3 linked regions of the Saccharomyces cerevisiae S288C genome follow. Changing the gene in region 3 together with the main gene of any one other region gives a genetic interaction. Each region holds a gene or a part of one and is shown on either strand. Other genes may lie near its edges.

The links. A genetic interaction does not mean that the proteins touch.
Region 1: mutations in SEC22 (region 3) and GYP1 together harm fitness more than expected from each alone (negative genetic interaction), as found in Saccharomyces cerevisiae (6 studies listed by BioGRID, with this or other methods).
Region 2: mutations in SEC22 (region 3) and GET2 together harm fitness more than expected from each alone (negative genetic interaction), as found in Saccharomyces cerevisiae (6 studies listed by BioGRID, with this or other methods).

The regions. Positions count from the first base shown.
Region 1 is NC_001147.6:455,407-459,758, reverse strand, and holds GYP1 (GTPase-activating protein GYP1), read left to right. Parts: upstream 1-1,938; coding exon 1,939-3,852; downstream 3,853-4,352. Other genes in the region: NRT1 (nicotinamide riboside transporter), read left to right, coding at 1-279; VPS5 (sorting nexin 1), read right to left, coding at 3,964-4,352. UniProt on the Saccharomyces cerevisiae protein: GTPase-activating protein (GAP) that stimulates specifically the intrinsic GTPase activity of Ypt/Rab-type GTPases YPT1 and YPT7. Functions on the Golgi as a negative regulator of YPT1. Functions on the vacuole as a negative regulator of YPT7.
Region 2 is NC_001137.3:325,674-329,001, reverse strand, and holds GET2 (GET complex subunit GET2), read left to right. Parts: upstream 1-1,970; coding exon 1,971-2,828; downstream 2,829-3,328. Other genes in the region: threonine ammonia-lyase ILV1, read right to left, coding at 1-525; YER085C (uncharacterized protein), read left to right, coding at 862-1,383; YER084W (uncharacterized protein), read right to left, coding at 1,551-1,937; UTP7 (Utp7p), read left to right, coding at 3,066-3,328. UniProt on the Saccharomyces cerevisiae protein: Required for the post-translational delivery of tail-anchored (TA) proteins to the endoplasmic reticulum.
Region 3 is NC_001144.5:675,600-683,646, forward strand, and holds SEC22 (SNAP receptor SEC22), read left to right. Parts: upstream 1-4,600; coding exon 4,601-5,245; downstream 5,246-8,047. Other genes in the region: PDR8 (Pdr8p), read right to left, coding at 20-2,125; BOP2 (Bop2p), read left to right, coding at 2,613-4,325; DCS1 (5'-(N(7)-methyl 5'-triphosphoguanosine)-(mRNA) diphosphatase), read left to right, coding at 5,587-6,639; CMG1 (Cmg1p), read left to right, coding at 7,138-7,962. UniProt on the Saccharomyces cerevisiae protein: Nonessential SNARE involved in targeting and fusion of ER-derived transport vesicles with the Golgi complex as well as Golgi-derived retrograde transport vesicles with the ER.

The DNA of each region.
Region 1 (4,352 bases), on a different chromosome or scaffold from region 3:
ACTGTTAGACATGATGACAAAGATTACTATGGTGCATTTACCGACGAAGAAGCGAGAAAGAAGGGCATGATTCCATACAGTGAAATTTCTGAGGAAGAAATCCGTGCTTACACGTTAGGCGAATGCTACACAACTGGACACGAATACAAACCTGAGAGTTCTGATAACGAATCACCTGAATTGATCAAAACTAGCTCAGAAAACACTAACGTATTTGAAATCGTTCACCAAAAGGATGATGAAAAGCACTCCTTTAGTACCACTCAACAAGTTGTCTGATGACAAAGAATCCGATAAAATGAAGATCTCAAATATACAAAGAGGAAACTTCAACGCTTCATTTGAAAATCTGTACAGATCTTACAATTTGGGAATACTACCAGATCGATCCTCAGCTGCAAATACTTTACTGTCAAGTATGTCTATGGTGACAAATATCGGCATTATTGTGTATGGCTCAATAATTTTATAAAAAAAGGAACTATTGGTTCTTAGTATTTTCTTGCTAGAAGACATATTCTTACCAATCCTTTCATAAGCTAATTATGCCATCCATATAGCAAGAGAATCCGGTGGGGGCGCCATGCCTATCCGGCGGCAACATTATTACTCTGGTATACGGGCGTAACTCCATAATATGCCACCACTTACCTTTAACATGTTCATGGTAGGTACCCCACCCAGCCATAAGGAAATTTTCAAAGGCGTTGGATCAAAAAATAGGCCTTTATTTCATCGCGTGATTGAGGAGCATAACATGTTTAGTGAAGGTTTCTTTTGGAAAACTTCAGTCGCTCATTATTAGAACCAGGGAGGTCCAGGCTTTGCTGGTGGGAGAGAAAGCTTATGAAGCTGGGGTTGCAGATTTGTCGATTGGTCGCCAGTACACAGTTTTAAAAAGTCAGAGAATGTAGAGAAGTATGGATCTTTGAAACCCTTTTATTTTATTTTACTTTTTTTAGAATGACCTGTTCCCGACACTATGTAAGATCTAGCTTTTAACATATTATGGAAACCTGAAATGTAAAATCTGAATTTTTGTATATGTGTTTATATTTGGGTAGTTCTTTTGAGGAAAGCATGCATAGACTTGCTGTACGAACTTTATGTGACTTGTAGTGACGCTGTTTCATGAGACTTTAGCCCTTTGAACATATTATCATATCTCAGCTTGAAATACTATAGATTTACTTTTGCAGCCATTTCTTGGTGCTCCAAGGTTGTGCGTATCTATTACTTAATTTCTGTCCTTGCCAAGTTTTGCAGCAGGGCGGTCACAAGACTCCTCTGCCGTCATTCCTTAGTCCTTCGGGAACACACTTATTTATGTATTTGTATTCTACAATTCTACGGTGCACAAGGGTTGGGCACTGTTGAGCTCAGCACGCAACTATTGCTGGCATGAAGATAAGATTGATTTTTGGAAGAATAAGCTTGTGGAAGTTACCTGTCTCTTATTTTTTTTTCCTTTTTGCACTTTTTTTTGGTGATCACTTAGGTAACAATCTATAACACAGCAGTATGAACCCACTAGTTAACCATTCTGCGCCGATGGTATACCTTTTTCATTGCTTAATTGTCTGTGAGAGGCTTGATAAGCTAAGGCTCATGGCGATAAATCCACGATGAACTCGTTTAATGCAAAATATAGGTCGCGGCTTGCCGGGTACCAAGTCGCAACAAAGCTCCCCGAATTGTTTCGCCCATTCATCTGACAGGACAGAATGCCAAACATATGATGCATGATGCAGCAAAGAGCACAGTAATCACTATTTTCTGCATATCATATAGCCAGATTGCTATAGTGTTTGGCTTTTGTCCTGCTGTTAATTGTTTTGTTTTCTTTCTATTTTTATAACTATTATTGGAGAGTAGATCAAGGATACAAATAACAACAACAACCACCAATACCGACCACTTAATAAAAGTAACCATATAATGGGTGTGAGATCCGCTGCAAAGGAAATGCACGAACGGGACCATAATTCGGACAGTTCCAGTTTAGTAACTTCCCTGATGAAATCTTGGAGGATATCGTCGGCTTCTTCCTCCAAGAAGCCATCGTTATACAAAATGAATACTACTGAATCTACTAGTTTACCCTCGGGTTATGCTTCCTCGGCAGATAGAGATCGGAGAACCAGTGACGGTAATTTTGAAGCTATGGCAAAGCAACAAGCAAGCACTAGACGTACCTCGAATTCCTATTCACCTCTACGATATGTAAACCCCACTCTAAGCACTGCAAGTAACGAAAGTCCCCGGCCTGCTTTACTCTTACGTCAGCATCACCAGCGTCATCACCACCATCAACAACCCCGCCATAGCAGTAGTGGTAGTGTAGGCAACAATTGCAGTAACAGTACAGAGCCTAACAAAAAGGGTGATCGATATTTCAAAGACTTAGATGAGGATTGGAGTGCTGTTATTGACGATTATAATATGCCTATTCCTATACTTACTAACGGTGGATTTGGTACACCTGTAGCTCCAACGAGAACTTTGTCGCGAAAATCCACTTCTTCTTCCATCAATTCGATTTCGAATATGGGGACCTCCGCAGTACGGAATTCTTCCTCCTCTTTTACATACCCTCAATTACCACAGCTGCAAAAAGAGAAAACAAATGATTCCAAGAAAACTCAGTTGGAAATCGAAAACGAACGGGATGTTCAAGAATTAAACTCCATCATCCAGCGCATTTCTAAATTTGACAATATTTTGAAAGATAAGACAATCATAAATCAACAGGATCTGCGCCAGATCAGTTGGAATGGTATCCCAAAAATACACAGGCCTGTTGTTTGGAAATTATTAATAGGTTATTTGCCTGTGAACACCAAGAGACAGGAGGGTTTCTTACAAAGGAAGAGGAAAGAATATAGGGATAGTCTGAAACATACCTTTTCTGACCAGCACTCAAGAGATATCCCAACTTGGCATCAGATAGAGATAGATATACCGAGAACAAATCCCCACATTCCCCTCTACCAGTTCAAATCCGTACAGAACAGTTTACAACGAATACTATATCTTTGGGCAATCAGGCATCCTGCTAGCGGATATGTGCAAGGTATTAATGATTTAGTTACACCATTTTTCGAGACTTTTCTTACCGAATATCTGCCGCCTTCACAAATAGATGATGTAGAGATAAAGGACCCCTCTACTTATATGGTAGATGAACAGATTACAGATTTAGAAGCGGACACGTTTTGGTGTCTTACCAAATTGCTCGAACAAATTACCGATAACTATATTCACGGACAACCAGGCATATTAAGACAAGTGAAGAATTTGAGTCAGCTAGTGAAACGAATTGATGCTGATCTATATAACCATTTTCAAAATGAACATGTGGAGTTTATACAGTTTGCATTCAGATGGATGAATTGCCTTTTGATGAGAGAATTTCAAATGGGTACAGTAATAAGGATGTGGGACACATATTTATCTGAAACTTCACAAGAGGTCACTTCTTCTTATTCTATGTCGTCCAATGACATTAAACCTCCTGTTACTCCAACAGAACCTCGAGTGGCAAGTTTTGTTACACCAACAAAAGATTTCCAATCTCCCACCACAGCTCTTTCTAATATGACACCAAACAATGCTGTTGAAGACAGTGGAAAAATGAGACAGTCTTCGTTGAATGAGTTTCATGTGTTTGTTTGTGCTGCATTCCTCATCAAGTGGAGTGACCAGCTAATGGAAATGGATTTCCAAGAAACTATAACTTTCTTACAGAACCCTCCTACAAAGGACTGGACTGAAACGGATATTGAAATGCTTCTGAGCGAAGCCTTTATTTGGCAATCTCTTTACAAAGATGCTACGTCGCACTGGCTGTAAACGGACCTATTCATTTTACTTACTGTATAGTATGTAATAATATAAAACAAAAATCTCCTAATTCATAAATCCTGAGGAACGTGACACATAAAGTTATTGTATACAGATCATCTAAAGATTGGTTTGGTAGAATGTCTCCCAAAGCTCGATGCATTCTTTTTGAGATTCAATGGCCGCTTCTAGTGATATTTCCATGCCGTTTCGGAATTCCCGAATTTTATCAGTAGAGAAACCTTGGAATTCATCTTTTATTTTATCTCCTACCGCTTGCCATTGTTTTTTTGTAAGGTTATACCTTCTCTCCAATGTTTGAAATTCCTTTCTCATTTCTCTGAATTTTTCTGAATGAATATTTTGACCCAATTTGCCCAATTGTGAGTGTTTCTTATTCATGTCATTTTCTATTACTACCAAGAAATACCCCAATTTGGATCTCTGATTGAAAATTGCTTTTACGCTTGCCAATGACCTAATATAGTCGTCCAGCATCACACCCATCG
Region 2 (3,328 bases), on a different chromosome or scaffold from region 3:
GACTTGAGACCCTAATCTCGAGACATTTTGATACTTAATAGATGGTGTACAAACAGGCATAACGATAGTAGCAGGTATTTTCAAGTGTTTAGCAGCAAAGGCCACACCTTGGGCATGATTCCCAGCTGAACAGGCAATAACACCCTGGTTTCTTTGAGAATCGTCCAACTTGGCAATCATGTTATAGGCACCACGAAGCTTGAAAGAGAAAACAGGCAATAGATCTTCTCTTTTCAAGATGACATTCGTGTTTAGACGGGAAGACAAACCTACACCTTGAGAGATTGGAGATTCATTAATAACATCGTATACAGAGGACCTTAAAACTAAACGGACGTAATCAGGGGTGTTATCAGTTTGCAGCTCATCCAATTTCAATTCAGAGTGTAGTTTTATCAAGGAAGGTGACAGGTGTTGTCTGTGCAAATGAGCCTTTAGTCTCAAAAGGTTCAATCCAGACACTTTGGACTGTTTACCTTGCCGAACAACCGTACATAATGGTTGCTTTAGTAGAGTAGCTGACATCACTAACTTTGTGTAATTGACTTAGTTTAAATGTGGCTTGTAGCACTCACACAAGAAAGAACTCAAAGCAGCAACAACAAAAGTTTTCAAAGCTGATAATGAAGTATCTGCAGACATATGTTTGAGATGACTCTTTTTCTTTGATATTTTTTTTTTCTTTTTATGCGATTCCAAATTTGCTACCCGCTGCGCTTTTTCTTTTTGCCCTTCTTATTTTTTCTTTTTCGCGTCAATTAAAATTGAACGTCACAAAATAGCAGAGATAATATGCAATAAAGAGAGAAGAGTTAAAGAGTCTTGGTAGTCAGGAAAAGGTTTTCATATTCATCAGACATAATGAATTTCAAGGAGCCGCTAGTGAATTTTTTAAAATGCGTCTTGAATAACATAAACTCGGCATTTTCGCATAGGATTGATCAATTGCAATTGCAGCTGTTGCGGGAAACAAATATCTTGAGGGTTTTGAACAGGGGAATAGAGAGACTGTTTAGCGAGAATCCAAGGACCCATTCTGTTTCCCGTATCGTGGTGGAAAAAGATGTGGGCTGCAGAATTGGACGATATGTGGAAGGTTCTAAATATGAACTGGTAGAGTCCAGGGCGAAAGAAATACAAATATATTATGAAAGGATGGTTTTTGAAATAACACAAGAATTGAAAGGGGACAAGCGGGTGTTTGCCTTGATTGCAAATCTTTCCCAAAGATATAGCGCAGAGAGGAAAGAAATACGAAATGTAAAGGTGCATGGTGGGCGGCCATGTAATGAGAACGAATTCCAGGTGATTCCGATAAGATTCAAACCTATTAATTTGGAAAGAAGAGCACGACTGATAAGAAAGAAGAAGACTATTAATTAAAAAACTTACATACAAATACATGCCTTACTTTCGATGCCAGCATCTGGAAAGGGAAAGGCAGGGGCAGAGGGACATATTACTTATCTATTTATGCATAATTTGTGTTATATATTGGTATGATAACTTGATGTTAGAGAATGTGCTATTCTGTTTCTTGAAAATCTGAGTTAAGGTTGATACCGCTTTGATACAGCGGGTGTGACAGGTTTATCTGTGACGGTGACAGGGGCAGTAGAACTACTGGAAGCCGCAAAGTCAGAGGATACTGTGAGTGGTGGTGCCCACAACGTGGATGGTCTCAGTTTGACCCTAGGACTTGCAGAAGATCCTGTGGGAAAATCCGGGGAAGGCGGATGGCTACTTGGGTTGAGCATTACTCTCTTTGTGAAAAGGGAGGGAGGGAGAAGTTTGGGGATGAGATGGTTGCTCTTATAACATAAGGTAAATAAAAATTTGGGGTGACCCCGCCGTGCGCGTTTGCTGGGACAAAAGAACAAGAATAGGAACATGAAAAGATTTGAATGATATGGATATGTACAAATGAGCTCTTCCATGTTTGTAGCATCAGCAACGTAGCTCTAGGAAATATGTCTGAATTAACAGAGGCGGAAAAGCGCAGGTTACTAAGGGAAAGGAGACAGAAGAAGTTTAGCAATGGAGGTGCCAGCTCCAGGCTTAATAAAATCACCGGGCAGGCAAGCAGTCATTTGAACGCAGAATCACCTTTAGACGCTCCTAGCGCTGCAAAGACCACACCACCTGCGAGTGTGCATTCGGCTACTCCAGATATCAAAGAAGATAGCAACGTAGCGCCCCAATTGGACCTATTGAAACAGCTCGCTGCCATGCAAGGCCAAGGTACGGGTAAAAGTACCCCTCAGGACTCCTCTACGCCCGATCTACTCTCACTACTAAGTTCTATGAACACTGGCATGCCCAGTGCAGAGGGTACACCATCGTTTGGTCAAGCGGCTCCTGCAGCCCCGATCAATCAAGCTGCTTTGGACTACCATGATTACTTGCTGAACAGACTGAAAGCCTGGACCATTCTTGTGAAGTGGGTCTTTTTCCTACTACCCTATCTATACCTAATCACAAGACCAAATTCCTCTGTGTGGCCGGCCTATGCATTTACTCAATCAGCTTGGTTTGCACCTTTGCGGAACCCATCGAATTTCACTAGAATTTTTGCCACGTTTGAGTTCCTTTCCATATCCATCTACTACCAGCTATTGAAGAATGTGGAACACAAGAGCAAGATTAAAAATTTACAAGATACCAATAAACTTGTCAAGTTAGTTTCACTGGTGCCCGAGGGAGTAATTCCCGTCGCCAACCTGAAGGGGAAGCTAATTACCCTTTTGCAATACTGGGATCTATTGTCCATGCTAATCACTGACATTTCGTTTGTGCTAATTGTCTTAGGCTTATTGACGTACTTATAAATTCTAGATAGTTCAGTAATATAATACATTGTTCTCATAACCCGACATTATTCCCGGCTTTCTTTTCAGGTAATTGAAAAAAAAAGAAAAACGGTAAGAAAATTTTCTAAGCGATGAGTTCGTGAAAAATCGATGTATAGAACTGAATTGGAGTTCAATAGTAAAAAAAAATCCATATATAGCATTAAAAACTCAGTATCCTAGCTTTAAGAAACTGAACCAGATTCCAACGACACAATGGGTCACAAGAAGAACGGTCACAGACGCCAGATAAAAGAAAGAGAAAACCAGAATAAATTTGAACGTTCCACATATACTAATAATGCTAAAAATAATCATACTCAAACAAAGGATAAAAAACTAAGAGCAGGCTTGAAAAAAATAGACGAGCAATATAAAAAGGCGGTATCTTCTGCTGCGGCAACAGATTACCTTTTACCCGAGTCCAATGGTTATTTGGAACCTGAGAATGAGCTAGAAAAGACTTTCAAAGTGCAACA
Region 3 (8,047 bases):
ACATCAATCATAAATACATTTATAAATCGAAATGATATTGTTTATAAAATTTCTTTTTGTCAATGGACCAAAGGTCTTTGGAAATCTCTTTGAACGTTTTCCAAACATCATTAATAAAATCTTCAATCATGAGATCACTGAAGTGCTCCATATTAATGCCCTTTTTCAGCCAAATTTTTTCAGTCTCTATTCTTGCTTGGGACGCTTTATCGAATAAAACCCTACTTACGCGTTCAAACGCCAAAGTTGAAGTTAACTGATAAAAATTGGAAACTGCTTTTAACAATCGCTTATTTCTTTCATTAACAGCAAATATGCTATCAATAATTTCGTAAAATCTTATTATTGTTCCTGAAAATGACAGAAATTTATCAGTCCTAACATCGAATCCTGTCAAAAGTTCATCAAAGTTTTCTTCTTCATATTTAATGAATTGTATTTTTTTCCCAGTGTCAAGGTCAATAAGGAAAAGGAATGCCTTCTCCCTGAAGATTAACCTATTAAATGCTAAACTGTACACTTGCGATACTATTCGTATTAAAAGTGGATTGATTAGAATAATAGACAGTTTTAGCCCTTCAGTTAACACGTTCTCCTGGTCGTTGATAGGCTCTTTAAAATGAAATACCATTGTATTAACACAGACTGATATGGATATCAACAAGAACTGAACCATTCTGTTCTTATCTATGATTCTGCTTTGTTGAGCGATGATCATCTCAATATTGTATATACTAGCAACTATACTTAGAGATCTTGATAAAATCAATATATCAAAGGGATCAATATCAGAGTAGTAAACTGAATTTGTATAATGTTCGATAGGTGAAAAGTTAGATTGTATAAATTCAATCAATCTCAATGAAAAAGTGGTCAATTTTTCGTTCATCTCTCTCTTGTGAATTTCACGAGTAGTGAATCGGGAAACATCTAAAAAATCGTGCATTAGCTTAACTCTCCTAAAGTCAATACTCGGTGATTGGAAATTCTGCGCAGTAAATATACTTAAGTCCAAAAGATCATCTGAAATAGACGGAGGATTACCTATATCATATGAGGTGGATACATCAAGGAATAAAGCCCAAAACCAAATACACCTCAAGTTTTGTTTGGTTTCCTCACTTTCGTTCAAATACCATTTATCAATATCATTTAAACCCAAACTTATGCACCCCTGGCATAGCTCGTTGATTAAGTCAACGCCTTGAGTCGCATCCCATACACCGTCCGTGCAATTTATCATTACACTAATATAGGACAATAAGAAAAATTGTAGTTTTTCCACGAAATTTGAGCTCGATGATGACAAGGACGCTGCACTTAAAGTGTGAAGGAAATGACTCACGGAAGAAGGGATATCTTGGTTATAATAGCCCAAGCAAAGAATTTGAAGTACAATGCCAAGATTATACTTATCTTTTGCATTACCTTGCAAATCGAGGAGGATGACTAGGTTCTTGTCCGTGGTATCTCTAATAAAAAGTCTGTCCAAGAGGGACAGAATATCGTCTTGGTTGAAGATATGCAATATGCCGAACAGCGGTCCAGCAAAAAAAGATTTAATACAGCTTTCCATTTGAGGAAAACTAGGCAAATCTGCTACAACATCATTTTCATTTAATTGCGATTTAGTGCATTCAGGAAGTGGTTTCAAGACTTTCCATAAATTTTGAAACTCAGTTTGAAACTTATTTTGTTCAAACAAAGATAAAGTTTTCCAGGAAGTGGGGCCAAACACATACCTCGAGCCATTATCACCTAAAACCGAAGTTCTCAGTGACCGTAATGGATTTTCTGAACTCCTGCAATACACCGGTTTCGCATTATTGTTATCGTTTTCCTTCAGTAGAGTCTGCAAATTCTCAATCTTCTGAACCAACGCTACATTGGGCACTTGCTCGAACAGTTCCGTATTAGACAAGGGATAGTTGAACTCTTCTGTGTAAACGCATTGCGGTAGTTTTCTAATTACACATTGCTGACACATAGGCCTGGCCTGACTGCATTTCAGTTTTCTTTTTCTACAAAATGCACATGACTTGATGACCTTCCTCCTCTTGCCCTTCTTACCACTTGAAACGGGCTCTCCGGTAGTAGATTTCATAGGAAAATGGGATCCATCCATCCCAACAAACTAAGTGCCGTTTGCCTCTTTCTTATTCGTCCCGTACCAACCACGTGTTTTCCACCTGTCATGGGCTTTTCAAGAGTTTGTCAACGCGGAAAGGCGCCGCATTGCACCTTGTCGTGATGTATTCTAAGTACAAGTAGTAAAGAAGTAATGACCCTGTTGTTATTGCTCCACTGCTGACCGCTGTTAATGCCTCTTCATGATTTCTGAGTCATTGTTGTACCCTCTGGCGAATAAGCCACTGTTGGTTTTGTGTGCATGTTGGAAAGGCGTTGCAACGGACTGTAACTCCACACACGAAAGAACCCTTAATTTTCAGCCGCTCGTTATTTTATTCAGTTGATCATTTCTTGTATAAATAGATTTAAGCAAATTTAAAGTTGATGATTCTATCTTCACAGCTAGAGCTCTACGTGAAATTTGTGCAATATATAGGCTGTGATTTCGAAAGTTATATATTCTCCGGGTAGAAGTGAAAAGGATGGTTGCCGCTTTAACGTATTTGCCTACTGAGCTTATCCAAAGGATATTTGAGTTCACTGTGGTGGAAACAGACTCTCAATATTGGTTGTACAATTTAGTGGCTCTAATTGATTTTTCTGTCTCTTCGAGAGGTGGTGGCTCTATAACGGAAGACTTCTTGACAAATTACGTTAGGAAGAATTTGATGGTTTTAGATCTGACCTGTGAGGCCACGCAAGACTCGATTTTACGAGCGGAGTACGGGTTTCTGAAGAGATTGTTGCCATACATTGACATGGACGCACAATATATCAGAGTTGTTGATTTGGAAACCAATGCTGACAAGGCCCAGAATTTAAAAGCAGAAAAACTTATTGTTATATTTGACGAATTCTCAGATTTGAAACTCATAGAAACCTTCTTCCCCTTGGCGAATTCCAATTCAAACATAATCGAGTTCGTATTCTGTGTTCGCAATATAAAGAGTTCGTTTTATTCACCTTTGGAAAAATTACATATTGCGAACATAGTCGCAGATATTGATATTAACACATTGTATCTGGACTTCGTGGATTCAAATATCTATTCGGATCAAAATTTCTTTGGGATTTTTGATCCCGATATTTTTCAGCTGATTAATAAAAACTATAGAAACTTCTTTTCTAAGACTAACGAAAAGGGGAAGAAAAGACCCCCCATTTGCAAGAAAATCTGTTTTCCCTTTGTTGAAACATTGAATTTGGATTATATGGCCCTTGATTCATTCTTTAATTCGATACTGCATAAACTAACAACAAAGATAAAAACATTTGAAAGGAACAATGAGTTTGACGTGGATAAAAATTTAAATTTAAACTCGACAACGACAGTAGCAGCTTTAATTATCAAGTCGATCTTGCAACAATTCTTCAACAATTTTCATATCAGCTTCCCTAATTTGGTTACCTTGAATTTTATTAAGATGTCTACCTACCCAAACAATAATGAGATTACCCAATGTTGTAACTTCATAGATTTATCTTCATATGTTCTAAACAAATGTTTAAGTGAGAATATCTCGATAAATTTCCTCTTTCAGTTGCACTCTTTGAAAAATTGGTCAATGCCCAAGATTAAAGAATTCACTGGGCACAAATTCAAGTATGACGAAACAACATTTTCAGGTTCACCAGAAAGGTACATCAAATCATTGAGGGGAAACATTAAAATTTTGCAAGAAATGGCAATTAACGAAACCAACGATGGTACTTGCTATTTCAGAGTCAAGTTGATACCTGAGGGGGTAGAAAAAACTCAAATAATCAACTGGATCCCCTTTACTTCTTCATTTAGCGATGATACCTTCAAACAAAGACACCATTTAAAGAGGCCAATGATTTGCTTGAAGAACAACTCTTTAAGATCGCTCACTGTCAAAATCATACGTATTGAAAAATGTTCATCCATCCGAATCCAGGGATTTTACCTACCAAATCTGCAGGAACTGTTCATCAACAATACCCTTTGCGACACCACCCAACACCAAAAACAAGCGTCAAATGATATGAGTTGTATAGAGTTCACTTCATGGAATGAACTACCACAATGCAAGAAATTGGGATTTGCTCAATTAGAGGACGACTCTAACTACGTTCTTAATATCAGTAACCTACAAGACCATTTACCAAATCTGGACCTGCGGGAGAGTTTCCCAACTTTCTTCGATATAAGACAGAAGTTTGTCGTGGTTTGAGGTCTAATTTTCAACCAAACGTGTTGTACTAGCATATATAATTAAATAAATTTCTCTAGTTATCACTTGATTTATCTAATAAGAGACGTCATAAACGAATTTTTTTTTAGCAATAAATCCTCAACGCTTTTTGTTTTCATTTTTCGGTCTTTTTCTACCATAGAAGATAAACAAGTAGAGCCCATGTAATATAATATATCTACAACCTATTATTACCCAAAACCAACAAAAACCCTGACAGTGACACCCCGTTACACACTCACAATTAAGTAGGGATGATAAAGTCAACACTAATCTACAGAGAAGATGGGCTGCCTCTTTGTACGTCTGTGGACAACGAAAATGATCCCTCATTATTTGAACAAAAGCAAAAGGTGAAAATCGTCGTTTCCAGATTGACACCACAGTCTGCCACGGAGGCTACTTTGGAAAGTGGCTCCTTTGAGATCCATTATTTGAAGAAATCCATGGTGTACTACTTCGTCATTTGCGAATCTGGATACCCAAGAAACTTAGCATTCTCATACCTTAACGATATAGCGCAAGAATTTGAACACTCATTTGCTAATGAGTACCCCAAGCCTACCGTAAGACCATACCAGTTTGTAAACTTTGATAACTTTCTACAGATGACAAAAAAGTCATACAGTGATAAGAAAGTTCAGGACAATTTGGACCAACTAAACCAAGAGCTTGTAGGTGTCAAGCAAATCATGTCCAAGAACATCGAAGACCTACTTTACAGGGGAGATTCTCTCGATAAAATGAGTGACATGAGTTCTTCTTTGAAAGAAACATCCAAAAGGTACAGAAAGTCCGCGCAAAAGATCAACTTCGATCTCTTGATCAGTCAATATGCTCCTATTGTCATTGTCGCTTTCTTTTTCGTCTTTCTCTTCTGGTGGATCTTCCTCAAATAGACGTCACCCCATCATCCCACATCACAAATCCCGATCAATTTGGTCCAAGTGTATAACATAGTCTAGTTCAGTATTAGTATAGTATGGCAATTTATTTGACATAATTACGTATTTTTCAGGCAAGCTGGCAGGTGACCCGCCGCACCTGCACTTTTTAGGGAGTCTTTTCAAGGATATCATCACTATATATCGAAGGAAAAGAGGCTTTCCAACTCTTTTGGATGATCGAATTGCCATCACTACTCTATTAACTGTCTGTGTATTAACTAAATAATCACATAGTATTAAGTTATAATTCCTGGAAAAAAAAAGAAAGCGAAACGACAAAATTAGCATATACCATGTCTCAACTGCCAACAGATTTTGCTTCATTGATCAAGAGATTCCAATTTGTTAGTGTCCTCGATTCCAACCCTCAAACCAAAGTTATGTCCTTATTGGGAACCATTGACAACAAGGATGCTATTATCACGGCTGAAAAGACGCACTTTCTATTTGACGAAACCGTGAGAAGACCCTCTCAAGATGGCCGCTCCACTCCAGTTTTATATAATTGTGAAAACGAATATTCTTGCATCAACGGAATTCAGGAATTAAAGGAGATTACTTCCAATGATATTTACTACTGGGGTTTGTCAGTGATAAAGCAGGATATGGAGTCGAACCCTACCGCCAAGTTGAATTTAATTTGGCCTGCTACTCCAATTCATATCAAGAAATATGAACAACAAAACTTTCATTTAGTCAGAGAGACTCCTGAGATGTACAAGAGAATTGTTCAGCCTTACATCGAAGAAATGTGTAATAACGGTAGACTTAAATGGGTAAACAACATTCTTTATGAAGGCGCTGAGTCAGAAAGGGTCGTTTATAAAGATTTTTCTGAGGAGAATAAGGACGACGGCTTCCTAATTTTACCTGATATGAAATGGGATGGCATGAACTTAGACTCTTTATATCTAGTTGCGATCGTCTACAGGACCGATATCAAGACAATAAGGGATTTAAGATATTCTGACAGACAGTGGTTAATCAACTTGAACAACAAGATTAGATCCATTGTTCCTGGTTGTTACAACTATGCTGTCCATCCGGATGAGTTGAGAATTTTGGTTCACTACCAACCTTCTTATTATCATTTCCACATTCACATCGTTAACATAAAGCATCCCGGTTTAGGTAATAGTATTGCCGCGGGCAAGGCCATCTTGTTGGAAGACATCATTGAAATGTTAAATTATCTAGGACCAGAAGGCTACATGAACAAGACAATCACCTACGCTATTGGTGAAAATCATGATTTGTGGAAAAGGGGTCTGGAAGAAGAACTCACTAAACAATTGGAAAGAGATGGTATCCCAAAAATACCCAAGATTGTGAACGGTTTTAAATAAAGGTTGTTAAAATTCTCACATCATCCACCTTTTTCCTACTCTCATTTTCTTTTTTTGAAAGTTGTTTGTTTTATATACCTTAGTTTCACAACAACATAAGGCATGCCTATTTGAGATTTTGTGATTAAAAAATAATAGAATACGTACTATATAACCGTCGGTTTAAAGTAAATAAATTAAAGACTAAGAATGAAACAATTAAAAACACTGTTCAATAACGTTGCTCTATCCTCCTGAGTCTTCCGGATCCTGTCTCCATTTTTTTGTGTGGTGACGAGTTGAGATAAAAAGATTTCCACTGCTGAGAATAATATCTATAATCGATAATGAAAGTTAGAACGATCACGTTGACTCTGAAATATAGTCAATAGAAAAAATTAGGTATCAATTCAATTGTAATATTTACTGGATTGAATTTAATTTAAGAATTACAGAATAAGAGGACGGACAATAAGAGGTACGCTACACATCTACCATCACTTTCAGGGAGGGCATAAAATGGAGGAGAGTAAGACAAAAAGAAAAGAGGATCGCATAGATTTGAAGAATACACCGCCTCAGAAGAAGTCAAAAAGAGATTCAACAAATGACGAAACTGCACGCACATCACTACGTTCAATCATGCCCAGGGGTTATAAAATGATGGAAAACATGGGTTACAAAGAAGGAGAAACATTAGGTAGTAATGAAAGTGCCCTAAAAGAGCCTATTAAGGTAGAAATCAATACAAAAAGGAGGGGAATTCGTGCAGAAAAGCCCGACCCATCAACAATGAATGACATGCAGATGAGTGAACAACGATTTATAAAAAGAGAAAGTGAAATGAAAAATAATAAGCGGTTAAAAAAAATTTGGTATAGGATCCAAAAAGTTGCTTTTGAAATGATGGGTGATTCCGATTTATACAATCCAGGCGAAGATCCGAGAGACTTTAACGTACTTTGGAGATCTTACGTTATGCAACTAAATGAGGAAGTAGCAAAAAATGACCTAAATAATCACAGTAACAATGATAATGAAGATAAGAATAATATGATACCAATGGTAAATGAAAGTTTGGAGGCTTCGCCTGCAATAAAAGGTGAAAAGTTTGGACGTCCTTCTACATTAATAGATTGTGATACTTCAATTATCGGTAGTCGCATTACAAAAGACACAGAACTTGCTGAATTAGAAGAATTGAGCATTGAAAAAAGAATAACAAAATTGAATATATTCCTGAGGTCCGAGAAGTACTACTGTTTTTTTTGCGGAATCAAGTATAAGGATGAAGGTGATCTCTACGAGCATTGCCCAGGAGTGAATGAAGACGACCACAAATGAATTTTATCGAGATAGGTAAAGTCATATTTCAAGAAGAAAGAAATGAACAGCTTTTATTTATATAATAACATATAATATAAAACGG